Linked DNA regions of Notamacropus eugenii. The protein of the gene in region 2 purifies or fractionates together with the protein of the main gene of each other region. This does not show direct contact. Links are inferred from orthologs where the notes say so. Each region holds a gene or a part of one and is shown on either strand. Other genes may lie near its edges. The genes, in order: ANAPC13, CDC27, ANAPC2 and ANAPC7.

Region 1 (7,146 bases), on a different chromosome or scaffold from region 2:
GAGTGGAAGCAGGAAAACAAATGACAACAATACAGTAAAGACAAACAACTTTGAAAGAGTGAGTCTCTGATCAGTATAATGACCACCATAATCCCAGAGGATTAATAATGAAACATTGTGGGGGGAGCGGTGCACACACGTGGGCACATGTGTAGGAAATGGCCAATGTGGAAATTTGTTTTGCTTGACTATACATGTTTGTAACAAGTTTTATTTTTCTTCTGTTCTTAATGGTAAGGGATGGAAGGAAAAGGGAGAAAAGTCAGACTTTTGTGGACTGAAAAAATATAATTTTGAAAAAGAGGGGAAAAGTTCTGGTAGTCCGGGAGGAAAAGGGAGGGGTATTAAGAATTAGGAGGGAAATAAAGCAAAATAAACTCAAAGGATGTACAAAAATATTTCTGGTTCTTTTTGAAGTGGCAAAGAATGAAAACCTGAGGGGATATCCATGAACTGGGGAATGACTGAACAATTTATGTAAAGAATGGCCTATTTTATTTATTACATGGCACCTAATCTGTGCTTTGAAGGAAGCTAGAGATTCTATGTGGCATAGAAAAAAGAATGGAGTATATTCCAAACATCAAGGTAGGCATGGAAGAAGGAATACAACTAAATAACCCTTCATGTGATACTTTATTTTTTTCTTTTCAAAAGAACTATATAAAATTAAGAATTGTTTGCACAAGGCACAGTATAAATTCTAAAACCTAAGATCACACAGCTAGGGTGAAATAGAGTTTAAAGTTCTATCTGACTACAAGCTGCTTCCTGAATAAAGCTTATTTATGTACTACCAGAATTAGGTACTAGTTATAATCTACAGCTATCAACCACATTTAACAAAGTAGAAAAGTGATATTCAAAATAGTTGAATGAGTTGCTCAAAGTTACACAGCTAGTGTCAGAGGTGAGATTCAAAACCAGATATTATTGCCTCCAAGTATAACACTTTATCCACACTGCCTCTATGGCAAACAGTAAAATGACCAAAATGTAAGGAGGTTAAAGAAACAAAAGAAATGATTAATGAAAAAGCAATTCTTTTGAATTCAGGCACAATACTGACCTGATGAGGTCACTATAATCCAAGTTAACAAAGCATAATGCCTTAATTTACTTATAATTTTCATACATGCAGATGTAACAATTTGGTATCAACTTAATACCTATGCCATTGTACCTTCTCAAACATTCAGACAAACCCAAATTCTGTAGAGCACTTAGCATCATCACTAATTTGGATAAATTTTGATTATTTGGTACTGTAATTTAACATTTAAAATGAGTGTGTGCAAGGTCTTATACAGATACAGGTATTTCTACTCTAACAGACCACTTTTAATAAAGAAAAAAAATACTTTCACTAAATTTTCCCATTGTCAATGGGGGAAAGGGAGAAGGAGGAAGGGGTTAAACTTCAAAGTTATTTCAGGCAACTGAAAATTACTGCAGGAGTTAATAAACTTTTTTGTGTCATAGATTCCTTTGGCAATCTGGTGAAAACTATAGACTCCAATGGTTCACCAGCTATGTCTCACCAGTGCCCACAGACAGGAAAGACTACAAGCCCTTGAAATCCACAGTAATTTCAAAGTAGTGGTGGGCATACATAACATTCCAAAGTATCTGCAATGACTATAACATGGCATAAAAATATTTGTGATTTCTACCAGTGATAAAGTCACAAGTACTATTAATGATGCTGTGGTTTATTACCTACATGTGTAATTGACAGAAAACCTAAATTTCAATTATAGGTTGCTTAGTAAAAATTTTTTTAAAAATTTCCCATTCAAGTTCCTGGACTCTCCCAAATCTAACCATGAAATCCTTCATGTTAAGGACCTCTATTCCTTATATAACTGAAAATGTTCACAACATCACTAGAACTAGGAAAAACATGGGATGAGGTGTCATCTTTTTAAAAAGCAATAAACAAAAGTTGCTATAAAAATGACTAGGTTTTTCTAAAGAAATTCTGGGAAATGGGCCATAGGGTTCAGGTTCCTCTGTAAAAGAGATGTGTGTTTGTCCTTTATTGCCGAAGAAGACCATGCCATCAGAGAAATGATGATGACTTTTACTTGACTTTGTTTTGAGTGAGGGAGGGCTGAGGTTAGTCTAGACAGAAGGTGGGAAACCTCTGGCCTCAAACCACTCCTGGTCTAGATAAATACCCATGGTAAAAGGATCTTGGAAAGGATCTGATCAACAATCTCATAATAAAGTATTTATAGAGAGGTCAAGTAGCTTGATGTACTATCCTCTTTAGGAAGAAATCCTCACTTTAACTGAGGTCTCCCAGGATTCTGAACAGAAAGGGTTAATAGACCCTTCAGGCACCACAACTGCAAAATGCTGTTTTTGTTCCTCCTTCCTTTTCAAAGAGGGCTAGTCAGCCTCACTCTCTCTTCCAGAACGATTGAAGTTCAGTGGAGAAACAAAAATCAGTAGATTGATGGAAGGCTGCAGTGGATGACCTTGGCTTCTTTGATGTCTGACCAACCACTAAGCACTCCACAGCCCTTGCATGGCTCTTGGAACAAAATGTTCTGATCTGCTTGGGGAAGTCTATCCATGCGTGAGGTAGACATCCCTCCCCGCAACTTAATGAAGGGCTCCAGGGCAGTGGGTTACTCTAAACTTGGCTTAGTGGGTTGTGACCACAGCACATGCTACAACTTCTTGGAGCCACAGGTGACAGTTGGATGACAGCCCTCACACCAGGAGTATTCATCCTCCCTAGACACCACATACATCCTTATTAATCAGAGGGGGTACCTTCCCTAAACTTCTCAAATCATGCTGGAAAGGACCTTAGAGGTTCTAGAGTCATGGGATCATTTCATAGAGAGAGAAAGAACTTCTGAGGCTAGCTGGTCTAATGCATCCCCATCCCTCACCCCCTTCATTTTACACATGAGGAAACTGAAGACCAATTAAATCAGATGACTTGTCAATTCAACAAACATTTATTAAGCACCTACTGTGTGCCAAGTCACTGGGCTAAGCAATGGGGATACAAGAAAAAGGCTAGGCAGGGCCAGTCTTCACGTATCTTACAACTAATAGGGGAGACAAGGCCAAGCAAAGGGATACAAAGTATCTAGGTATCCTCCGAGATGAATGCCTCCATTTTGCACGGGGAAGTGGCTTGCCCACAGCGACAGGTCCAAGTGGAAGCAAATTGATGACCCTGTAGAACGGCGGGCTAGGGAAATCTGAGGCTTGCCCAGCTGATGGGTTTTTTTAATACCTCCAGCGCCTGGCACGGTGCCCTCACTTAGTAAGTGCTTTAACGTCTGAACTGAACTGAACCCCGGACCTAGGTCCATTGGCCTCTCGGGGGCCAGCGGGGGAGGAGAGGGAGGGGGAGGAGGATAATCTCGGCCTAAGTCGCTCTAGCACAAGGCGCACTCGGACTGCTTTTGAATCGCCCGCCGGGGACACGTGGCCCCCATCACCGCCGCCTCCTCTAGAGGGGAGGTGGAGGAACCCACTTCAAGCATGGCCCGAGGCGGGCTAACGAACGAACCCCAGCCGCCAGCACTCGCCCTCGGACCCGAGGAAGGCGAGCGGGCACCTGACGGCGGGCTTGGCCGACGCGCCCTGCGGAGCCATGGGCCGCACTCAGCGCGCAGCCAGGCGAAAAGCACGCCGGGAAGAAGCGCGCAGTCGCTACCCCGCGCCTGCGGACTAAGGAGCAGCGCGTCGACGCCGTTCAGCGGCCTCAGCCCCGCGGCCACGCAGGCCGTGCACCCAGCCCCGCCAGGCGTCCGCAGCAGCGGCAGCGTCCGCCCCCGCCCCTTTCTCGTTCTCCCGCCGTTACCTTTCCCGGCCGCGCGCGCCGCCGCCGACGTTTCTGCACCGCCTCCTCGCTCGCCCACTCGTCCTCCCTCCGCCCCCTCCCCACTTTAAAAAAAAATTTTTCCCCCCTTAATGAATTGAACCAACCTCATCCTCCCCACTTTCCTAAGGTAATCGAGTTGACTCAGCCTAGTACTGTCATTCGCTGGGCCTAAACGGTGGGAGGGGAAGGGTTTTACGAATCACGTGACTCCGGCGAATTGGCTGGCGGAGGAGCAGATTGGCGCGGCGGTTGAAGGCGGAAGAGCGCTGGAGCGGAGGTTCCCCCAACACGCCTGCGCGATGATCGCCGGAGAAACGAGCGCGAGACTCGGAGCATGCGCATGCGCATCCCTTTCACATTCTTTCCAGGTCTGCTGGTTTGGTTACATTGTATGCTGCTGCTCTGCAGCTGTACCTCCCCTGTCCCCTTGTGCTCACCCCAGGAGAGTCTCGGCTCTTTTCTTCCACCCTTCTGTCCCCTAAGGAGGATACTGGAGGGCAGTGTCGTTCCCTCCCTCTCCTTTCTCTTCTGGCCTCGCTCGTCCCAAACTGCAGTAAGACGAACGTCTGTGTGTGTGTGTCTGTATGTCTGTGTCTGTGTGTCTGTGTGTCTGTGTGTGTCTCTCTCTTCTGTTACTTGATTTTGTATAGTACTTACAACTATTCATAGTCCCAGGGCTTTTATTAAGCAGTATGTGCCATGCCCTCTGCTAATCTAAAAGTTAGCAGAGTTTGTAAATTTCTGAAAGTTTGTAAAAATCTGCCAAAATCTGCCTATTGTGTGCTGCTTCCTCAGGGGTGATAAAACTGTTTTAAGTCACAGCCTCAGCTCTAAATGAGCTTCTGGTCTAATTGAGGTTTCAGGATAGGAATTCAATAGCCATATAAGATTACAATTCAAACATTTTTTCACTGCTTTCTGCTGGAAGTTCTCAGCCACACAGTCAGGAATACAAAGATGAAAATCAGTGATCCTTATCTATACTTAAGGAGCTTACACTGTATGTGACAATTAAAAAGAACAAATTAATCAGTGATGACTTATAACATGTATTCTGATAAGAGGAATAGTAGATGACAAAAGAGGGCAGCAAGCACTTTGAAGAAAATGAAAAGAATGTGGGATACAAGAATTTAGATAAATGCTAAGAAAAAGTTGAAACATCCATGGTTTCATTGATCTGGGTATAAATACTGAAAATGGATCCTTTTACTTTATTGAAGTAAAATTCTTTTTAAAAAAGAATCAAAAACTTGTCAGCCAGCTGTCATCCATTTATGTTTATTTTGAGCTCAGGCCACGTCCACAGACACAAAACAATTAAAGTACATTTGGACTAATTCAGAAAATTAACTAGTTGTGTGTGTGTGTGTTTAATTCACTCATCACCAAATTTCTGAACTGTAACTTGTAGGCCATAGGTCTAAGAAAATCAAAATCACAAAAGAATGGACAGTGAGGTACAGAGGGATGGAAGAATTCTGGATCTGATTGATGATGCTTGGAGAGAAGATAAGCTGCCCTATGAAGACGTTGCAATACCACTGGTAGGTAACATGCTATGAATAAGGGAATGGGTATACCATTGTAAGTAACAATTAATTAGCAAACCCAGCAAAAGCAGAAAGGAGGAAGGGCACATGACTCACAGTGGGAGCAGTTTATCTGGACCAGAGTTATCAAATATACTTCCCTAGTGGGCCTGAATTAAAATTTAATTAAGAAATGTTCTTAAATAAAAATACAGTAGAACAAAGATAATGTTAATGTGTGGTTTTCTAATCAATATACAGCCACAGGGATCCTTAAGAGTTTAATAGGTCTGTTTCTGTTTGAATTTCACACTGCTGATCTAGGCCTCCTAGTTTTGTGGCCCTCCACCTGAAGCAATGAAAAATAGAGAGGAGGGGATGGATGTAAAATTATTTCTTCCAATCCTTTCAAAGCAAATCAGCCAAGGCATAGAGAGGTTAAGTAATTTGCTTAAGAACATAAAACTAGTTAGTGACAGATCTCCTGAATGTCAGTCTAGTGCTTCTATCAATGTACTATATAGAGATAAGTCAAGAATAATTAAGAGTCAGAACCACTGAAATCAATGGAAAAAATTAAAAAGAGCTAAGAACATACCTTAGAACAACTAAATAATATTCTCTTCTTTCTTTTACTTTCATCTGTCATTCAGTTATTCTCTTTGTAAACCTCCATACTTTGATGCTAGACCTTTCCAAGATTTTCTGAGAGATTTCTATTCTCTTCTCTACACCTACCAAGTTTCTGAAAAAAAGACTTAAACTTCCACGTTTGTAGATGTCCCTGGACTTTTAAGTTTAGTCCTGTGTTTGTTTTTTACTGAGTTAAAATTTAACAAATTACCATAGCACTCTTTATAGGATGGTAAAGATGTTGGGGTAATTCATACTTCAGGTCCAAACTGAGTAATTTCTAAAATTGCTTCCAACTTTTTAAGAGACTGTAATTATATTATTTTTCACTTTAATGAAGGCTTATGATAGATCCTATGTATATCATAAGGACCTACTGAAAGAGAAGAAAATAATTGAAAAGAGGTGGAAGAATATTTTTTCTGTTAAGAGGTGGGGGGATGGTAAGGGGAAATAGTCACAGGTCATATGCAGGTAAAAACAACTTTAGCTATTTTTGAAGGAACTATGCAACGTTCATGTTACCTACTTTTAAAAATCAAGAACGGAAAATATAAAACTATTCAATAACTACAAATAACAAAGAGATATACCTTAAGTTAAGGATCAAAAAAGAAAAGGTAAAATGGACTGAGGACCTAAAAGAAAACATTCAAAAACCCCACTTTGAAATAACATTTTTGCTTAACCCTTGAAATAAAGCAAGGATATCCATTGTGTAGGATAAAGACCTGTATCTATCTCAGAAACTTTCACATATGTACCCAGAATTTGAGAATACTTTTCTTAGGCCAATTCAAGTCAACCCAAGAGCAGATTGGAGCCAGTGAATCAGATATTTTCTACCCATGATTTATTGATATATTTGCTTTACACTTCTTTTGTTGGTGTTAATTTTTTATTTGAGCTAAGTTTGTCTACCTTTATTAGTACATCCAGAATCCATCACATTATAGGTGTGAATTCTTCCACCCCTTTCACCAAAGTAAGTCACAGCTTTTCTATACTATAACTGTCTTTGTAAGTCACTGGGTCTGAAAAAATGTTCCTCATTTGATATCCAACTTTCATGTGATTAACACCTCTGAACTTTAATGGTCTCACTTAACAAAATACACAGTGTATTAT
Region 2 (6,933 bases):
GAAAGATTATTAAGGAGGATAGGATAGTCAATGCTGTCAGATGCTGCAGAGAGGTTAAGAATGGTGAGGACCAAGAAAAGGCCATTAAATTTAGTAATTAGGAGATTATTTTGTAAAGAGCAATTTCAGTTGAGTGGTAGGAATGGAAGCCAGACGGCAAGGAGCTGAGAAGTAGAAGTAATGAGTGGAGACAACTTTTCCTAGGTGTTTAGTGGTGCAAAAGTGGAGCATGAATGACTTGAAAATATAATTTAAAAAAAGGAAAAGATTTGTTTTGGTAGTTTTTGCTTTTTTAAAAATTATAAGATCAAGTGAAAGTTTTGGGTTGTTTTATATTTTTTTTAGGGTTGGGGAAGAGTAAGGCATGTTTGAAGACAGTGAGGATAGATCCAGCAGGTAAGGGAGGAAAGCTTGAAAATTATAGAAAAGGGATGATTGTGGGGCCAAGCTTGGGGGAGGGCCCTCTTCCTCTGGAGCAAAGGAGTACAGAATTAGGGATAATGCTGGGCACTTGAAGTGCAGTAGAAATGGGAAGAATAGGGGAGCTCATGATAGGTAGGCTCATTTGTTTCAGTGACATATAAAGTCAGATCCTCTGCTGGGGGCAGGAGGGTAAAGTTAGCTTGAGGACAGCAGAGGTCTGTAACAGAGACTGTAGGGAATGGGAAAGCAAGTTAATCAGGAACCAATAAAAGGTTTCTGTAAAGCAGTAAAGAGCCAGTTGAGATGACATAAGAAATCTTGGTGGACTACTCAAAACTCCCATATATGCCTCCCTCTATCTTTACAAATAGCACCTTTATATGTGTATTTATCTTTCTGCTGTGCTACTACAAACTCCTCTTCCCTGCTAATTCCAATCTCAGCCCCTGCCTCAACCTCTAGCACCACCCCATTTTGACTGATCCTCATTGGCAGTAGCCAAAGATGTCTGCTCAATGCTCCTGACCATACCACCTAATCAAAGGTTGGTAGTGAACTCATATTGCTCTACAGATCAAATCTTAGAAAAAACCTCACCTGGACAAAAGACCTCTCTGAAGTAAAGGGCAGTGATATGTTGGGTTTTTTCACCATATGAATTTAATAAGCTACTGGATTCTAAGGCTTAAGAAGGCCTGAAGTGCATCATTGATAAGAAGGTTTGGATGGAAAGGAAGGAAAATTGGTGTGTATCATCCAAGGGTTCTGGATCACAAATTTCCTCTCCTTTGTGTAATTATTAAGTAATAGTGGCACTTCAGTAATGACACAAGCCAATCACTTTAGGGGAAAAAAATAATAGCTAACATTTACATAGCACCTAATATGTGCTAGAGGTATGTTAAGCATTTACGAATATTATCTCATTTGATCCTTACAACCTTGGCAGACAGGTTCTAAAAAAAATCTTTTGAGGCTAGAAGAAGCAAATTTATAACTCAGTATCAGCATAAAATGTCTTGGATGAAATGAATCTGAAATGCAAATGAAGTAACAGAAGCAAGCATATACTCACTAAACTGAAACTGGGCATAGATAGCTATCAATTCTTTTATAGGCCCCCAAAAGGCAGGACTTTTAATTTAAGCTTATTTATTGAAAAGAGAAATGCTAGTTGGTCAAATGAGAAAATATTTTTGGATTTTCACTTACTGCACTAGGATATCTTGTATATGGTTACAATTCTAAATTAGAGCCCCATATCACATTGACTCAAACACTAAGGGCTCTGAAATGAATAAATGGGGATGACATTATTTAAATGTTTACTGTTAGATTCATTTGTTGGTAGTTAACAGGTACATTAATGGTAATACAGAACACTTCTCAAAACCATAAGGATACTACCTAGTCTTTCCTGACCATCATCATCAGCAGCAGCAGCAGCTCTAAAACCATAGAGAAACCCACGTCACAGGTCAACTCATTTGACATAATGTAACCCCCCCCCCCAACCCCCAAACCTGGTGCATCACCAAGGCACAAAGGACTCAGTTCCTTCAGAAAGCATAGCAAAAAATGATTTGGCACTGCATCGTATTCTCAAAATCCAAGAGGATTTCTTCTATTCCATCCCAAAAGAACAGTGAACATGAAAAACATACCTGATTTGGTAATGACAGTGAAGATTTAAGGGTTTAAAAAAAGATGGGAAAGGTATTCGAATTTTTTTTTAAATTCCACTTTCTGTATGTGCAAGAGAAAAAAATACCCCGTGATCCCATCATTATCTGTGATAGAAAAACCTGGCATAGATACCATCCCCACCCTGCCCTGCCCTGCCCTACTGTGGCTGTTAGGCAAGTGTCTGTATCTTATACCTGATTCCAGCCAGGCTAAGCCACATGTCCAGTGGTGAATTCACACTGAAATCAGAAAGCAACAGGAGCTGGGGAAAGGCCAAGTCACCCAAAGGCCAAGCTCTCCTTTAAGACACCATTCACTCCCTGCCCCCCTGCCCCAAATCTGCAACCGCGCCAAAAAAAAAAAAAAAAAAAAAGCGCAAACCATCCCCAAACTCGCGGGTTCCCGGGGGACGCCTAGCCAGCCTGGTGCCAATCCTCCTCCCCCTCCACTACAGACACTACCCGAGCCGACCCGAGCCGACCCTCCCGCCTGCAGGACTCCGGCTCCCTCTCTCCCTCCCCGGTGGCGTCCACGAGGCGCCCCCGGGGACTGACAGGAGGGGCGGGCGGGGGCGCGCTTGGGACCCCGTCCCCGCCCGGGGGCTCCCGGGGGCGTGGGCCCGGGATCCGGCGTCCTGAGGGCCGGGCCGGGCCGGTCCGCAGAGGAGGAGGAGGAGCAACGTCCCGGGGCCTAGGCCGCGCCAGGCCCTGCCCGAGCCGAGCCGCAGCCCGGCCCGGCCCGAGCGTGGCCTCCCCGCCGCCACCCCCGCCGCCGCCGCCGCCGCCGCCGCCTGGGGCTGAAGGGGGCGAGGTCCTCGTTACCTGGACGGGTTCCTGCAGCACCGTCATTCTTAAGGCTCAGGCCCGCTCTCCGTCGCGCCTCAGGCCCCCCCGTAGCGGCTCCGGCCCGGCCCAGCCCCGGCTCATTTAAACTCAGCAGCGACCGTTACCGGGGGATGGGGGAGGCCGAACGGCTGCCGAGTCCACCCGAGTGCAGCACGGAAACCGCCGAAGCTAGGGCTAGCCGGAAATGCCCGAGTTCGACCGGAAAAACACGAAGGCTGGCGGAGGGGCAGAGCGTAGCCGGAAACGCTAGAAGATTAGCCAAAGGAAAACCGAGGCTGGCTTAGACGGAGGAAGCTCACGCTCCCCTCGAGCTCAGTTACCCGCGCGCTCTTCGGCCAATCAGCTGCAAGCAGGCTGGCCGTGAGCCGCCGGGCGGTGGGCTTCGCCGCGTGGTCGCGGCGCCCGCCCGCTGTAGTCCCTTTAGCTCGGTGCTTTCGCCTCATCCTTGCTGCCCGGGCCTCGGAGGCCCAGTGCGCCATGTGGACGTACGGAACCGCGGGCTGTAGCGGGAGTGTGGGCCAGGGCCTCTCGTGGCCAGCACCACCTTGGTCGTGTTATTTAAGCTCCAGGCCCTCGGCGGCTTCGTCGGTTAAAAGAAGGGGATTCACTTAGACGGCTTCGGAGGTCTCTTCCGGTCCTGAATCTGGGAACCTGGACAGGAGCGACCATGTGCAGGTGCGGCGGAATCCTTGCGTCAAGCCTTTAAATGGAATTGAACCAGCCTTTATTAAGCGCCTCGGATGTGCAGATACGGCTTAGGCCTTGGGAGCCTCCACAAGCTGGGTCAGGCCCTTTACAGTTAATTCAATTTAACAAGCCATTTATTACACACCCACAATGTGTCTTAATCTGTGGCTTAGTTTTGGAGGGGAGGGGCTACGCAAACCGAGTGAAGACCTTATTAAGCACCTACTGTGTTCAGGGCACTGTGCTAGGAGAAGGGGAAAATAAAGACAAAAGGAAAAAACCATTTCTGCCTTTCAGAAGCTTGCATTTTGCTTAGGAAGAAGGGAAAGAGGATACAACAAACATTTACGTAGAAAAATAAGTAGGAAATAATTTGAAAAATGATATCCCAAAGTAGAGGAATTCATAAAAGCTTCCTTTCTTTTTTTATAAGTTCACTCTAGGCTTTCAGGCCAAGGGGAATCGATTCACACTAACCAAACTGACAAGAGACAGATTTATCCACTAGAATACCAAATTATTAATTTGCACTGGGAGAGCTATCTGGCAAGGTAACTCCAGTTATTTACTCCAGAGGCCAAATTACAGATTAGAACACTGCTTGATAAGCATGAGAGCAAAATGAGTTGGTGTCCTTAAGGAATATTTCCTTCAAGCTATGGTGGCTTGATAAGTTGTTCTTCTCAGTTCTAGGGAGAGATGTATTTGAATAAGAAGTTTCTAGTCTTTGGAATCAGAATGCTCTTCCTCCTGAAAACGCATTAATACATTCTTACTTTTTTTTGCTCTCTGTGCCTGGAATGCACTTCCCACCTCAACTCTGTCTCTTAGAATCCCTGGCTTCCTTCAAGACTCAGCTCAAGTACCACCTCTATCTGACCCTAAGGTTGTCTGCTGTTAAGATTGCTTTCCCTCTATACCTAGCCTTATAAGTGGCATAGAGCACTGGCATTGGAGTCAGAAAGAGCCGAGTCCAAATCTAAACTCAGGCTTGGGCAAGTCATTTAACCTCTGTTTGCCCAAGTTTTCTCAACTCCAAAATAGGGATAATAATAATCCTTACTTCCCAGAGTTACGGTGAGGATTAAATAAGATAATTTTTGAAAAGCATTTTGCAAACCTTAAAGAGCTACATAAAGTATTTAAATGTATATTGCTTCATCCGTTAGAATGGACAAATTTTTGCTTTTTTTGTTGTTTTCTCAGTGCTTTGCATGGTACCCAGCACATAGTCAGTGCTTAATAAATGTTCATCAATTTATCAAGATTATGCAGATTGACACCTTCTTTTTATGACAGCTTTACCTTGGGCATGTTACATTAGATAGATCGTGGCTTATCTTACCATAGTTACATGAAAGACAGCATGGTATAGTAGATGGAGACCTGGGTTTGAATCTCAAGTTTGATACTTAACTAATTGTGTGACTATGAACTAGTCATGTCTGAGCCTGAGATACTTCATTTGCAAAATGCCTATAATGTTTACCTTATAGGAAAGATGTGAGGATCAAATGATGAAAGACACTTTGCAAACCTTTCAATACTATATGAACATCAGTTATATTTCTTATAGATAGAGATGTAGTCATACCTGTCAGGTCAGCTAATATGACAGAACAGGAAGATGATAAATGTTGGAGAAGATGTGGGAGAGTTGGAACACTAATTCACTGTTGGTGGAGCTCAGCTAATCCAACCATTCCATAGAGTATGCCAAAAATGCGCATACCCTTTGACCCAGCAATATCACTTCTAGGACTGTATCCCAAAGAGACCATAAAAATGGGAAAGAGTCCCACATTACCAAAATATTTATAGCAGCTCTCTTTGTGGCCAAGAACTGGAAATTGAGGGGATGCCCCAATCGGCTGAACAACTTGTGGTATATGAATGTAAAGGAATACTATTGTGCTATAAGAAATGATGAGCAGGAGGACTTCAGAGAGGCCTAGAAGGACTTATATGAACTGATGCTGTGTGAAAGGAGTGCATTTGTTGTGATGGGCTAAGTCTACCAGAAAAATTCTTCCCACATTGTGGTTGTTACTGTGTATTATGTTCTCCTGGTTCTGCTCCTTTCACACAGCATCAGTCCTTGATGGGGACCTAGGAGATACCCTTTACAAATCACCTCCTCCATAAATGGTTAACCTTATAAATCATTTGGTGTTGATTCTTCTGGGTTTTAACCTCATAGTGATATAAAATCTTGTGAAGTTCTGGGGGTGCCTCTTGTTTGATTCTTCCACTAATCCACTGACTATATGTAAAACACAAGATGCATATAAATTATAAATTGTGTGGAAAAGCAAATTGGATGTAAAATGCATTTGTACATGCATATTACTCTGCATTGTGAACTATTGCAATAACCATCTTCCTGCCTCAGATCTCTCTCTACTCTAACATATCCTCTACTCTGTTGCCAGGGTGATTTTTTCTAAAGCACAAATCTGGCCATGTCATCTCTTGGCTTAGTGAGCTCCAGTGGTTCCCTGTTAACCTCCAGGATCAAATGTAAAGTCTTCTGTCTGGCATTTAACACTCTTCCAAATTAATCTCAGCACAGTGCCTGGCACGTAGTATGTACTTAATAAATGCTAATTGACTTGACTTTATGATCTGATTTCTTCTGACCTTTCTAATCGTCTTATTATACCTTATTGGCCTCCTCGAATTTTTTCTGCTTCTCACACACAACACTCTTGTCTCTATTTCATTGCACTTGCAGAAAGCCTTTCCTTATCCCCTTGTTGCTAGTGCCTCTTCCCTCTCAGATTACCTTCTAGCTACTCTCTGTCTCTCAGTAGACAGAAGGCAGATAGATTAACAGGCAGGTAGATAGATATGTAGGTAGATAGATAATGATGTCCATATAGTTACTGGAAGGTTTGCGAAGTATCTTACATCATTTGATCCTCACATATCTTTCCTATAAGGTAAGTATTATAGGTATTTTGTAGATGAAGCAACTCAGGCTCAGAAAATTGACATGATTAGTTCATGGTCACACAATTAGTCAATATCAAAGTTGAGATTCAAACCCAGGTCTCTTTCCACTGTACCACGCTGCCTTTCATGTAACTAAGGTGGGATGAGCCATCATCTATCTAATATAACATGCCCAAGGTAAAGTTGGCATAAATAAGAAGGTGTCATTCTGCATGATCTATTGGTAAATTGAAGAGCATTTATTAAGCACTGACTATGTGCTGGCTACCATGCTGAGTACTGAGAAAACAACAAAAAAAGCAAAAATTTGTCCAGTCTAATAGAAGAAGTAATATAC
Region 3 (7,099 bases), on a different chromosome or scaffold from region 2:
TTCATTGCTGGAAGAAGACCATGCCATCAGAGAAATAATGGCATGGCTTGCACTTGACTTTGTTTTGAGTGAGGGAGGGTTGTGCAGGTCATCAGCCTCACTTCTCCTTCAGAGCTGTCTGAATCCAGTGACCAGATATTCATCAGGATGACTGGAGATGACCCAGGATGAGGCAAATGGGGTTGACTTGCCCAAGGTCACATAGCTAGTGAGTGTCAAGTGTCTGAGGTGAGATTTGAACTCAGGCCCTCCTGACTCGTTTTGTATCCATTACACCACCTAGTTGCCTTGGAAAATATTTAAATCCTGAAAGCCCTTCTAATACTCACACTGCCAATGGCTGGCACTAAAAGTTGATTAACAGCCCAGGAAGTGATAAAACACATTTCAGCACTGATTAATGCCCCAGTGACATAATTCAGAAGAGTGATCTGTTGGGAACTACCTTGGATATTTCCCTCTCATCTCGTTAAGGCACAAGAGAGCAGATGACAATGTCACACAGTACCTCAGTTGACCAAGCTTTGGCTGTTACAAATTAATTTTCAAGTACTCATTATGGTCTGTAAACCTGTAGGTTCTACTTCTTGCTTAGGTGTGAACTGGAAAGGTAAGGCAGTGAGTTAGGAAGTCGATTCCTAACCTAAAGAGGATTATGAAGATGAAGGCAGTTCCCAGTTATTAGCAACAAATTCCTAAATGAAGATACAGCTGGAATTGGGAAAGTAAAACAAGGCGATAAGTCTGTGTTCTCTTAGGCTTACTCTTGCTTAGAAGGGTTAAAAATGAGTCTATACTACTCATTAGATCTAAGACACACTAATGTCATTAGTCTAATAGTTTTTCCATAAACAAATTCCCATCAAGACACATTCCATCTTGTTTGAATTTAATTTGATGGGGAAGCCATTGTTAATCTCGATGGTGACAGTGTCAAAATGACCTTCAAAGAAGATGATGAATTTTATTACTTTTTTGTGGAAGTTAGGATAAGCAGGAATAGGAGAAAAAAAGATTGCATTATTTCATTTCAACAGACATTTATTTAGTGCTAACTATATGTAAGATACTATTCTGGGCCCTGGAAAAATGGCTAACACCCCCCAATTTCTCCCTCAAAGAACTTACACATGTACTCAAGTAACTCAATGCAAATTGTGTATGAAATAATATAATTTCAATGGGAATGTGCTAACATGCCAAGATATCAGAAAAAGTCTCTTTTAAGAGGCAACACATGAGCTGTGTTGTACAGGAAGACAAGGACTCTAAGAGAAAGAGGTATGAAGATGTGGGGGAACCACTTGTGCAAATACAGAGGTAGAAAGAACAAGCTAACAGGTCAATTTGAATGGAATAGTGGACATACAAGGAGAACAATATGAAAAGAGATTGAATAATCAAAGACCAAGATAGGATACAGACTTGCTATATAATCATACAAGGCCTTCCTTGCCCTTACTAGGCATTTAATGAACATTAGAAAAAACTGAGAGTGTAGTCCTTTATTCCTCTGGGGCCTCTGCTCATTTCCATGTAGGGAAAGGTCCTGGTCCCTTGGTCAAGTGGCCAAACCAGGTCCTGTTAGCCTCATCTTGTGCCTGTATCTCTAGCTCTTCATACATACTCTTTACTCACCAACTTCCATGGTGGAGTGGGGGTGGGGTAAGAAGCCATCTGGGCAAAGACTATTAACAATGAACAAAGGCTTCTGGTTCTTGGTTTAAAAAAAAAATTCTCCCCCCACAACACAGACAGCAGGCTCAGAGATGAAAATCATAAGGAAAACTTTATTCACACATAAAACTGCAATATATTGACTACATGTATACATTAAGGTTCATGTCCCTAGTTAGGGTTTTTGGCCACTCATCCCCACAATTACTGGCTTTGTCTGGCCACCTGCTTTGAAGGAAGCATGGGGCCTGGGAATAAATATCCTGAAGGCTGATCCAGGACAGCAGTGACAACTCTCAGGCAAAATTGCCTCTCGTCCTCTCTCTGTTTTCCTCTTCCCCATGATTCCTTCTGCCTGGAAGGCAATGAAACGTGCAGAGCATTACTAACCCCTACCCCAAGTGGCTGGGCTGTTGTAATTACCCCTTTTCTTTAGGACATGTTAGATGAAACACCCAGAGAACAGTGAATACCCATGAGGTACTGGGGAGCTAAGTTGTTCTCACATGCCTGAAATAGCAAGAGAAGGGAAATGCTGCAGCTATGAAAAACAAAGATACTTTATTAACAGATTCCCTCTCAAGGAAGACACCTGCAGACCTACAAAAGGGAGTGTAAGGCAAGCCCCAGGCTTTAGCCCATGGTCCCAGTTCAGCTGTCCTTGCCCATAGTATTCTTCTGGTCCTGGGCTGCGGCCTTGCTTAGATTCCCTGCTTCTCGCTTCAAGACGTTGAGTAGCGTCTGAGAACTTTCCAGAATCTGTGACCAGAAAAAAATGAAACAGTTTAAGCTTGCACATCTTGGAAAGATGCAGCTTTTTGGGTACTAAGGGGCCCTCTCTCTCCATCACTACTTACCTTTTATTGTACTCTCTACATATTGTATATATGCTCCTTCATCTTCAAATAAGTCAAGGATCTGGACTGTGCCATTTTTATATTTGTAAGACCATAGTTTGAGTTGTGAGGGACCTAAGAGATCATCTAGTCCAACTCCCTCATTTTACATTTAAGGAAACTGAGGCCCAGGGAAATTAAGGGACTTGTTCAATGTAGCAAGTAGTAGAAGTAGAACATTGAACTACACCCTCCACCTTCAAATGCAATTCTCTTTCCATCACACCTGGTGTCTCCTGGTACCTCTAGTTCAGCTTGCAGCCTCAAGGCCACATATGGTGCTCTAGGTCCTCAAGTGCGGCCCTCTGAACTGAATCCCAAACTCTAAGGGGATTTGTTCTGTAAAGTTTGGAGTCAGAGGGCCATACTTGAGGACCTAGAGAGATGAAGGTTTCCCACTCCTGCTCGTGTCTAGCATAGCACCTAGTACACAGTGTTGGCTTGGGGGGGGGTGGGGCAGCACAAGAAGGATAAAGGTGCGGACTTCATTTGGGGTGGGGAATGTCTGGCAGCTCTACCCTTAAAAAATTGAAAATTCAGATCTCTGGTGGGCACTCTCGATGGACTTGTTGACGTTGGGGTCCAGTGCTCTCATTTTAACGATAAGGCCCCTGAACCTGGGGGAGGTTAAGCGAGTTGCCCAGGGTCCCACAACCAGTTAAATGTCTGAGGTAGGCTTGGACTCCATGACTTCAGGGCTGCAAATCCAGCCTTCTGTCTGCTCTCTGGAACAAACCACCCTGCGTTCGCAAGGCTACACCTCCCCTCTGCCGACCCCGAGGTGTTTAGCACCAACACATGGATTTGGAGCACCGCCTCATCTCGGGGAGGGGTGCCCAGTGAGCTTGGGGTCTCCACGGGTTAAGTACCCTCCTGAGCGGCGGGAATGGGGGCTGGGGGGGGGGGGCAGGGTCCGGCTCCGGCGCGCCGGCCCACCTGCCCCCGGGGGGAGGCCCACCTTGAGGTAAGCGGCCTCGGTCTCGGCAATGGTGCGGTCAAACTCGTTCCGGGAGGCGATCTTCCGGGCCAGGTTCTCGTTGACCCGTGCCAGCTTCTCCGTCAGCTGCCGCACTTCGCCCTGGAGCCGCTGCTTCTCATCCTCCTCCTGCTGGATCTGCCGGCACAGCTCCTCCCGCTTCTGGCACAGCTCCTCGATGCCTGGGGGAGGCGAGAGAGGCTGGTGGGGGCCCGGGCGGGGAGCGGGGGCGGGGTTCGGGGCCGCACAGGGGGGGAGGGGCGGGGGGTGGCTCGGGGGGCCGGGATGGCTCGGGGTCGGGGTTCCGCCGCCGCCTGCGGCCCTCACACTTGACCAGCTCGTTGTTGTAGTTCTGAAGCGCCGCTCCCTGCTGGCTCATCCTCCCCGCGCTCCCGCCACCGGCAGCCTCCTACTCCAGCTCCAACCGCCTCTACCGCATCACTGCGCCTGCTCGGATACCGCTCTCCCGCCCTCCTTTGCGCGCCAATGGGCCCGTGAGCTCATCAGGTCGCGCCGCGTCGGCTCAGGGGAGTCATTGCGTGACGTCTGACGTCACCACGACGCGCGCCAGGGCTGACATCCGAGCCGCTGCGGCTGCGGGAGCCGGAGCGGGGTCTGGGCCTGTCAGCGCAAATGGCGACGGTGGCGGCCATGGTAGAGGGTGCAGCCTGCGGGGCCCCGGGGGCGGAGCTGTCAGTGGCCTGGAGTACCGTGAGCACCGGGCTGGTGCCGCCCGCCGCCCTGGGGCTGGTGAGGGCCACACTCCGGCGGGCGGGCTCGTCCCTCCCGGCGCATCTCCGCCTCCTCTCGGCCGCATCCTTGCCCTCGGCCCCTTCTCTTCCTTCAGCCCCGCCCCCGCCCCGCTCAGCCCCCTGTCCTCATGCCCATCTCCCTCTCCGCTCCTCCTGCCCCTCATCCCCACTCAGCCCCACGCCTCCTCTCAGACCCCAACTGGTCTCTCAGGCTCCAGCTCTTATTTTTCGTCCGCTCTCCTCCTGTCCTGACTCTTCTCCCTCCTCTGGCTGACCTTTAGAGCTGCTTTCCTCCTTGTTTTAGAGATGCTCTGTTTCTGACCCCTCTTGGTCCACTTCTTACGAGTTCTGTGCTCTTTAGGCAGCTTCCAGGCCACCCGGAGCAGTGAGTTTGAAAGAAGAGGAGCTTCAGGCTGCTGTGGAGGTGCTGAAGTGCTATGAGCTGCACTCGATCCTGGAGGAGTGGTTCACCGAGGTGCTTCAGACTGACCTGCAGTCCAACATCGCCCCCGAGTTTTGGAATGCCATTGCTCAATATGAGAACACCGCGGAAGAGCCCCAGTGCGTCCTGCTCCTCCTGGAAGCCTTTGGCTTGCTCAAGTGTCGACTGGACCCCTACCTCAACAGCTTGGATTTACTGGAGAAGTGGACGCAGATGGGCTTGTTGCTGGGGACTGGCTCTCAGGGTCTGCGGGAAAAAGTCTATACTATGTTTAGAGCCATCTTGTTCTTCTCCACCACGAAAACCTTTCAGGAGATGATCCAGCAGTTCTATGCGCGTACCTTTAAAATCTACATGCATCAGCAGAAGAAAAAGAAAGTGGATGAAGGAATGAGCGAAAGTGGCATGAGTGAGCCAGAGTTGGACCAAGGTGACTTGGAAGACAGTGGGTCTCCAGAGGGCCAGGAGTGTGCCGGCTGCAACAGTGCTAAGGAGCTGTGCTGGTGCTCAGTGGCTCTGGAACAATTCCAGCAGCTTAGTGAGATACTGTAAGTGACTGCTACTTGTAACTTTTGTGGCGTTGGGCATATCTCTCTGCTTCTTTTGGTTTCGGGGATCTCCTCTGTAAAATAAAGGAATCAGATTTAATTATCTCTCAGGTTCCATCTAGCTCCATATCTTATTAACCTATAAAAAAGTGTCCCCTAGCCTAGTCACTTTCCCTGGGATCAGGCAGGGTTTAACAAAGCTGTAGTAGAGGAAACCTTTTAATTCTGGGTAGTGGAAGAGGATCTTAGGACATCTAAATAACCTATTTCCCTCACTCCTAATTGCAGGGAATGTCAGAGTGTGTGAGGTGCTATATCATTAGCAGAAAATAGTGTTTATTTGTTGGAATAATGAATTCACACCTTTAGGCATTGATTATCATGTTTTCATCTCTTCACCCATTCCTAGACTTTAGTTATACTCAGTGGAGAGTAAGTCAGAAAAGAGATTTGTCTTGTGTTCCCCATCATTGCATAGCTTCCAGGTGAATGATTCATGACTGCTTATTAACAGCACTGTAGATATAATACATATTATGGTTAGGGGTTGGACTAGATGACCCTTGAGGTTCCCTGTTTTGTATTCTGGAGCAGATTAGCTCATGGCTTTTTTTTTATGTCCAAAATTACTAGCATTCTCTAGAAGTACTTAAGGACCATCAAAGAGTTTGAGGGAAAGAATTTTGCTTTTCAGCAATATGTTAAGAGATGTTTTGCTAAAATGACTAAGATTTCTGGTTTGACGTTTGGGGTTCCCATTGATTTTCATGGATTAGATTTTATTTTGATGTAATCCAAATGGTTATCCCAGTTCTTTTGTACTGGAATTTTGTATATTCAAAAATTCTTTAAATAAATGTGCCCCAGAGTAAACTTTGAAGTTTTTTGGTTTACAGATTTTTACTATAGTGATACTAGTTATGCCCAAAATGAGTCTTTAAGTATGGTTCTCTGAGGGACCCCCTTTTGAACCACACAAGGTAGGAAGGGCAGGATACACACACACACAAAGTATGTGGTTAATTGTTTTTAAGGATGCATTTGTCATTACAGTTTAGATCTACATTAAAAATCACAAAAGTTAATCATTTTTAAGTTACCACAGTAGTGTCCATTTACCCAGGCAGAATTTTTACAAATTTTTTCAGTGGCAAAAAAGAGCAAGTGGGATAGTTGTCTTATCCAGAAGTACCTTTGCATCCATTGGAGCCATGTTTACTTGTCTGTTGGCTGATCTGTGTGGACACCTGCTGGTCAGACCTGTGCTACTTCACCAGTTAGAGCTAAGAAATTTTGTAATCTTGGCAGATTTTCCAATCCTTTATTGCCCTTGAGGGCAAGTCCCTCAGCAGAAGTAGATCACCTCTTCTGTGCCTCTATCTCTACTTTTAGCAACTCCTGACCTACTATTTGCCTAGGAACTCCCACTGTAGTGGTCTTCTTGGACTTTGCCCCTAGGATCTTCCATTCAACAAAATTTGAGCTCTTTTTCAATTAATGCTCTCAGAGTTCCATTCTTTGGGGGTACTGAGGAACTATGGGAACTTTGTTTCCCAGATTCAACTTTTCCAGATTCAACATTTATTTTAACAGTGAGCTTTCTATAAATAATGTGATATACACTTAAGTGGTGTATCTAATGGTATGAATTTTTTATTGGAGGATGAAGGTGGCTTAAATATTTTGGGATGGGGAGAAAACTCTTACAGCATAGAGGGGCTAGCGACTTAATCTTTCTGGATTTAGGTTCAGGTCCTGTTTGAGGACCATAACTCCTTATTTGTGGTTTCATACTTTGTACCTTCTGA
Region 4 (6,896 bases), on a different chromosome or scaffold from region 2:
GGCCTCCTTCTTGGAAGCTGAGATATAAAGACAAACAAAGAAAACAAGCCTTGCCATTAGGGACCTTACAGGAAATGCAATATGTACTTAGATTAGGAAATACAGGCACTAACAAATGGAAAGATCAGGAAAGGCTGGTGAGGTGGTATCTGAACTGAGCCTTTAAGGAAATTAAAAATTCTGAGAGATGGAGGTGAGAAATGAACCCATTCCATATATGCAGGACAGCCTAGGCAAGGGCAGAGAAAAGGGAGATGGAATGCCAAACTTAGGGAACAGCAATTAAGACAGTTTAATTGGAACAAAAACAATGTTAACGCTGAAAGTGAAATAAACTGAAGGTTGGCTGAGACCAGACTATGGAGAGCTGTAACAGCCAGAGTGAGGAGCATGAGAGATAGAAGGAAACCACAGCAGATCCTAGGGGAGGACATAAGGGATATGCCTTGGGAATACCGTTTAGGCAGCTGAACGGAAGCCAGAACAGAGTGCAGAGACTGGATGCAGGAAGAATCATTAGGAGGCTACTGTAATAAGAATAACAGCAGTCCAAATTCATACAGTGCCTCGCAAATAGGACCTCATTTGAATCTTACAACAACCCTGGGAACTAGATGCTTTTATCTCTATTTTACAAATGAAAAACCAGGGCAGACAGAGAGAGGTCAAATGAACTGCCCAGCATCATACAGCTAGGAAGTGTGTGAGGCTGCATCTGAGCTCAAGTCTTTCTGATTCCTGGACCAGAGCCCTATCCACTTCCCAACCCAGCCACCTCAAAGTATTAGTATTACATTCAACAATTTCTCTCACATGCTGATTGAATTGTTTTTCTTTCTTCTAGTTTAAAGATTATGTTAATAAACTTCAGAATAAGAGTACAGTTTTCAAAAAGAAGTATCCACTAGAACACTCGTTGTTCGAATGCAAAGTGTACACTTGCCAAAAAGACTTTTATGGAGAACTCTCATGGGGCAGGAGATCGCATAGTGATCAGAAGAAAGGATACAAGGGCATTCTGAAGAACTTTGGATTTGACTGTGCAACATGGAGACACTGGCACAGGACCGCTCAGCATGGCGTGCCCATAACAGAAAAGGTGCTGTGCTCTATGAGCAAAGCAGAATTGAGACAGCACAAAGTAAACGCAGGATATCCACCCCAAATATTCACAGGAACTATCTGTGCCCAACCTGTGGTAGAGCATTCCGAGCCTGTTTTGGTCTGATCAGTCACAGTAGGACACACTGAAATGTCACTTTATCATGGTGATGTCATATTGGTCCTCTTTGAAGAGGAAGGAGAACAACCAACCATCCACTAGGTGAATGAACTTAGATTTCTGCAGGACAGAGTTACTTTTAAAAAAAGGTCATGAGAACATTCTGCACCAGCTGGTAATACAATGTCATCTAGGTCACCGTCAACATACGCGCAAGAAAACTCATGAATCTGTACCTTTATGTTAGATTCAGCACTGTTTCCTAATAAGATGAGAAAATATGTTTAACTGCAAAGGAAAAAGCAGTTGCGCTTTCAGACGTAATTTTGCTGCTCGCTTTAATTGTACCTTGTGCTGGCTCTAGGATCACCAGGAGAAAAAAGGAGAGATGTGGAAATTCAAACTATGAAACTTAATAACCAAAGGTTCCAAACTCTTTCCCAAGAGTCTTCTCCAGCCGCCCCGCCCCCGCCCCCAGCCTACTCCAGTATAGACTCCTACCAAGGGGTATAGACTCCTACCAAGGGGTACAGAAGCCCAACCTAGGGCATGCCCTGCCCCACCCGCTATGCCAAGCCCTGGCCCCCACGCCCCAGCCACGCACCTGCCCGGAGCCCCACCTCCAGAGCCAGTTACACCCAAGGACCCGCCCCTTTTCCTAGTCACGCCCCTTTCCAGTGCTCCACCCCCGTTTCAGCTCAGACTACCTGAGAACCCTAACCGCGACCCCGCAAGCCCCGCCCCCAGGCGCGCACGCGCGTCCAAATCCCACCCGCCCACTTCCCAAGGCCCCGCCCTCTCAGGCGCGCGCTCCCTTACCCCGCCTCCTCTCCCCGTCCAGGCTACTCACTGACTCCGCCCCTCTTCCGGCCCAGGTGCGCACTGGCCCCGCCCCCTCACTCTGCCTCCCCTTAATCCCGCCCCTTCAGGCTCCTCCGCCTCTCCCAATTCAGTTGTTTCCCAAGTCCCCGCCCCTTCAGTCGCGCGCCTCTTAACCCCGCCCCCCTCAGCCTCGCTCGCAACTTCTGGCCCGCGCACCCCCTAGCCACACCCCCTCAGGTGCGCGCCCCTGACCCCGCCCCCAGGGGCCCTCCCCACTCCGTTTCCCTCCCCCCACCGGACCTTTCACGCTGGGCCGCACTCACGGGTTGTTGTTGCTCATAGTGAGGAGGAGGCTGCTGAGGAGCCGCACGTTGGAGTGCAGCCCCGCGGCCGCCATGTCCCGCACGTGGTCGATCACGTTCATCTTTGCTTTCGCGGAGGGGCCGCGAGGACCCAGCGGCGGCCGAAGCGGGGACCGGACACCGGCAGGCTCTGGGGGGAGGGGAGGGCAGCGGCGACGAGCGCGGCGAGCGGCACCTCAGCGAAGGCGCCAAAATGGCCGCCGGCCCGGGGTCCTCGTCAGGCCCCCTCGCTGAAACGGGCGGGAGACTAGGACGACGCCTGTGTGAAAAAAAAACCCTCGTTCCTTCTGGGAGTACTATCACAACGTATTATGTATGAGGAAAAAGCAGGTATTTTGCTCCTACCGCGGAAGTTATCGTCATTTTCAGCTCCTTCAAAGGAATACAAATTTCTAAGGGCAAATGAAATCTTTTCATCAGGCGCGCACAAGACAACCCTAACCGTTGGGGCTAACCGCGCTTGCGCGAGTCATTGTGCCACGTGCTTTCCGCTCCATCCTTCTCCGTCCCGCTGCTGTTCTGAGTCCTGGCCGCGGTTGTGAGCCCCCAGCCTCCCACCGAGCACCCAGGCTCCCGTCTGCGTTCCACGGAAGACCCGAGTTCAAATCCGACTTCAGACACTCGCTCGCTGTGTTCCCTTGGGGACGTCACTGTCCGCCTCTGTTGCCTCATTTGTAAAGCCAAGCAGCTAGGTGGCTCCTCGGCTGGAGCCCCGGACTTGGAATCGGGGAGACCAGATTCACCTCTCCTCTCGGATACCGACTAGCTGAGTGACCCTGGACAAGTCCCCTCACCTCCGTTTCTGGAACTAAAATAGGGATGACAGCTTCAGCAATGAATGAGAGGGCTTGGGCTCCATGATCTCAAAGATTTCTTCCAGCTATTCTGTGCTAGAAAGGATCTCAAAAGTATATTTGCAGCCCATTCAAAACACCAGAGAGCCTAGGAATAAATGGAGTTTTCTTTAAAGTGATCAGCAGTATCTATCTAAAAGCATCAGCAAGCATTACAGGTGAGGGGATAAGCTAGAAGCATTCCCGGTAAGTTCAAGAGTGAAAAAAGGATGCCCATTATCAGTTCAAGAGTGAAAAAAGGATGTCCATTATCACCACTATTATTTAATATGTACTAGAAATTTTGGCGTTAGCCATAAGAGAAGAAAAGGAAGTTGAAGGAATTAGAATAGGCAATAAGGAAACAAAATTGTTGCTCTTTGCGGATGATAGGATGGTATACTTAGAGAATCCGCTAAAAAACTACTTGAAAAAAACAACTTTAGCAAAATTGCAAGATTTAAAACACACTCACAAAAATCATCAACATTTGTATTCATTACCAACGAAGCCCAGCGACAGGAGATAGAAAAAAATTCCATTTAAAATAACTGTAGACAATATAAAATGTTCCGGAGTCTACCAGCCAAGACAAAGCCGGGATCGATACAAAAACAATTACAAACACTTTTCCCACAAAGTCAGATCTAAACGACTGGAAAAATGTCAGTTGCTCATAAGTAGGTCAAGCTAATATAATAAAAAATGACAGTTCTACCTAAAATTATATTTGCTTGGAAGATAGCTTATCGGTTCACCTGTTAACAGATATTTCAGTTAAGAGTTTCAGCTTTCCTCTCCGGTCAAAAACCAACCTATCCTTCTAGAGCTAAATTCAGTAACTCCCACTCTTCTAAAAATGGCTCAAGAGGAGAAAGTGAGGCTGGTGACCTTGCACAGCCCTCCCTCAAAATCAAGTGCAAGCCATGTCATTTCTCTGATGTCATGGTCTTCTCCTAAAACGAAGGATGAACACAACCATAACTCTCCTAAAGATCTCCGTGACCATCCCAAGCAGAATGAATGTAGCTGGGGAAAGGACTGAAAAAGTCTGTGGTACAGGAAAATGCCCTGGAGTTAGAAGACCAGTGACTAATTCAACCACTAACTCTTTATCACATCTCCAGTAGAGTATAAGCTACTTAAGGGCGACAACTATTTTACAGTTTGTATTTATATCCCCAGCTCTTGGCACAGGGTCTTGTATTTGCAAAATAAATGCTATTTTCAGGGACTTTCAAGGATTGGAAGAGATCTCCTGACTCTCCAGCTTACTTTCCCACTCCTCCCACCTCCAAAAGTCACTTCACCTCTGTCTGACTCAGTTTCCTCAACTGTAAAATAGGAATAACAGTAGTACCTACCTCATTGTCATTGAGATGTTTGTGAAGTGCTTAGCCCTTAGTAGGCAGTTCATAAATACTTGTTTCCTCTTTCTCTAATTGGTAAATTCTTGCCAGGAATCTCTATTTGGGGAAGTACCCAAATCAACCCTGCTCATTCCTAACCTGCCTCGGCTCCTGGCTCTCCAGACAACTTTTCCATCCAGCCCCTACTAGGGAACATTGCCCCTTCCCAGCTTCTCGGCTCCTTCTTCTGCGTTGTATTCTTAGCATTAGGGTGCATGTTCCTTGAAGACAAGGACCTGTCTTTCTGCTTCTATTTGCATTTCCAGAACTTAGTATATCATATGCACTTAAGTGTTTGGCTCTCCATGGTCATCTGGTCCAACCCATGGATCAATCATCAAACCTCAACTTGAAACTCTCCAGTTGTAATAATGGAAACCCATTGTCTCCCAGGGCAGTTTCACCTTTGGACAGCTCTAGTTTTTAGGAAGTTTTTCCTTACTCTCCAACTTATAATCTTAGAGTAGTTTTGGGGCACTGACCTCACAGTGACTTGCCAATGATCACCCACCCAGAACTCTTTAGAGACAGAACTTGTCCTCAGGTATTCTTGACTCTATCCAATTTTCCACATAGCCTCTTCCCTTCCTCACTTCCCCCTGTGCCTGCATATTCCATGAAACCTGTCATTATCCTCCCATATATCCATTACAGGAGATCTGCCCAATCAACTGCACGTTCTGTTGACATTGTGTGAATATTAAATGGAGCACATGAACTATCATTGGTCATCCTTCAAGCTTCTTTGAATATTCCATCTTTTATTTTTCCCCATGAACATGGGCTTCTTATGACATTGAGCAGAAATCTGCCTTTCTGCAATTTCTATCCAACGCTCCTAGTTCTGGCCTCTGGGGCCAAACAGAACAAGGCTAAGCCTTCTTCCACATGACCATCCTGCAAGTATTTGAGGACAGTTCTCAGGTCCCCACTGAGAAGTCTCTCTTTTCCATTCCTACGTCCATCAAACAATCTTCTTATGATGTCTATAATCCTTTCATGATTCTCTTTTAGACTCACTCCTGATTGTCCATGTACACCCCAAAACGTGGTACCCTATGCTGAACATGACACTCCCTCCAGCCATTGCTTGATGAAGGCAGCTAGGTGGAACAGTGGGCAACATCCCTGGACTTGGAGCCAGGAAGACCTGAGTTCGAATTCTGACTCTGAACCATAAGTGCTGTGTGACGCTAGCCAAATTATTTAGCCTTTCTCAGGGGCCATACTTCATCAGTGAAATGTGGAATAATAAATAATAATAAATGTGGAACGACCACCTAGAGTTGTTGTAGGAATAAAATGAGATCGCATTTGTAAAGCATTTTGCAAGCTTTAAGGAACTATGGAAATACCAGGTAGTATTATCACGCCTCTCAATGCAATCTAAAATTAGATTTGCTTTCTCAGTTTCCAAGTCTCACTGCTGACTTATATTGAGCGTGAAGTCCGCTAAAAACAGCCATTTTCTTTGCATGATCTGTCGTTTAGCCATGCCTCCCCCAAACTAGACTTTTACTGTTGTTTTGTTGAATCTAAGATTCTGACTTTAATGTATTAGGTTTAGCTCACGGTTCTAACCTCTTGAGATCTTTTTGGAAACCTTTGTCATTAGTTTGTTTTCTCTCTGTCCCAGGTTTGTGTCATCTGTAAATCTGATAAACATGGCATCATCCCTAAAATACAGAATTTAAATAGCTTTCACAAAATCACACAGATAGACAGTGTCAGAGCTGGGTCAAGAATTTGAACTATTTGGCATTTGAAGCCTTTTATAAATTGGCCCCTTCCTACCTTTCCAGTTTTTTTGTACCTTATGCCCCTCATCATGTACTCTGAGATCCAGTGACACTGGTCTCCTTGTTCCCTGAACATGACTCTCCATCTCCACACTCCCAGCAATTTCATTGGCTGTCACCCATGCTTAGGATGCTCTCCCTCCTCAATTCTACCTTGAAGTCGTTAAAAATCTCACCTCCTGCAAGAAGACTTTTCCAGTTCTCCTTAACCCTACTTCCTTTGTTCTGAAATTATCTCCTGTGTATATCTTGTCTGAACATAGTTATTTGTATGTTATCTCCCTCAGGAGACTGTGAGCTCCTTGAGAGTAGGAACTGTCTTTTTCCTTTATGTGTATCTCTGACATTTAGCACAATGCCTGGCACATGTTGTTGCTTGTTCTTTGCTTTTGAAGATGACCGGTGATATCCTGGGGTCATGTCTTGACTCCTGAGTGAATTGAATTTAA

What was found.
Region 1: the proteins of CDC27 (region 2) and ANAPC13 purify together in Homo sapiens (affinity purification with mass spectrometry; 5 studies listed by BioGRID and IntAct, counting the BioPlex papers as one, with this or other methods). This does not show direct contact. The link is inferred for Notamacropus eugenii from reciprocal best matches to the Homo sapiens genes CDC27 and ANAPC13.
Region 3: the proteins of CDC27 (region 2) and ANAPC2 purify together in Homo sapiens (affinity purification with western blotting; 20 studies listed by BioGRID and IntAct, with this or other methods). This does not show direct contact. The link is inferred for Notamacropus eugenii from reciprocal best matches to the Homo sapiens genes CDC27 and ANAPC2.
Region 4: the proteins of CDC27 (region 2) and ANAPC7 purify together in Homo sapiens (affinity purification with western blotting; 23 studies listed by BioGRID and IntAct, with this or other methods). This does not show direct contact. The link is inferred for Notamacropus eugenii from reciprocal best matches to the Homo sapiens genes CDC27 and ANAPC7.

Annotation. Positions count from the first base shown.
Region 1 is NC_092876.1:333,963,368-333,970,513, forward strand, and holds the start of ANAPC13 (anaphase-promoting complex subunit 13), read left to right. Parts: upstream 1-4,122; 5' UTR 4,123-4,221; exon of another isoform or gene 4,222-4,406; intron 4,407-5,267; 5' UTR 5,268-5,301; coding exon 5,302-5,400; intron 5,401-7,146. Other genes in the region: CEP63 (centrosomal protein of 63 kDa), read right to left, coding at 3,958-3,962. UniProt on the Homo sapiens protein: Component of the anaphase promoting complex/cyclosome (APC/C), a cell cycle-regulated E3 ubiquitin ligase that controls progression through mitosis and the G1 phase of the cell cycle.
Region 2 is NC_092873.1:346,411,503-346,418,435, reverse strand, and holds the start of CDC27 (cell division cycle protein 27 homolog), read right to left. Parts: upstream 3,024-6,933; 5' UTR 2,958-3,023; coding exon 2,931-2,957; intron 1-2,930. UniProt on the Homo sapiens protein: Component of the anaphase promoting complex/cyclosome (APC/C), a cell cycle-regulated E3 ubiquitin ligase that controls progression through mitosis and the G1 phase of the cell cycle.
Region 3 is NC_092872.1:494,224,755-494,231,853, forward strand, and holds the start of ANAPC2 (anaphase-promoting complex subunit 2), read left to right. Parts: upstream 1-4,088; 5' UTR 4,089-4,182; coding exon 4,183-4,299; intron 4,300-4,662; coding exon 4,663-5,291; intron 5,292-7,099. Other genes in the region: microtubule nucleation factor SSNA1, read right to left, coding at 1,974-2,032, 2,343-2,436, 3,532-3,731, 3,877-3,928. UniProt on the Homo sapiens protein: Together with the RING-H2 protein ANAPC11, constitutes the catalytic component of the anaphase promoting complex/cyclosome (APC/C), a cell cycle-regulated E3 ubiquitin ligase that controls progression through mitosis and the G1 phase of the cell cycle.
Region 4 is NC_092875.1:35,969,730-35,976,625, reverse strand, and holds the start of ANAPC7 (anaphase-promoting complex subunit 7), read right to left. Parts: upstream 3,016-6,896; 5' UTR 2,752-3,015; intron 2,666-2,751; 5' UTR 2,469-2,665; coding exon 2,368-2,468; exon of another isoform or gene 2,345-2,367; intron 1,928-2,344; exon of another isoform or gene 1,827-1,927; intron 1-1,826. UniProt on the Homo sapiens protein: Component of the anaphase promoting complex/cyclosome (APC/C), a cell cycle-regulated E3 ubiquitin ligase that controls progression through mitosis and the G1 phase of the cell cycle.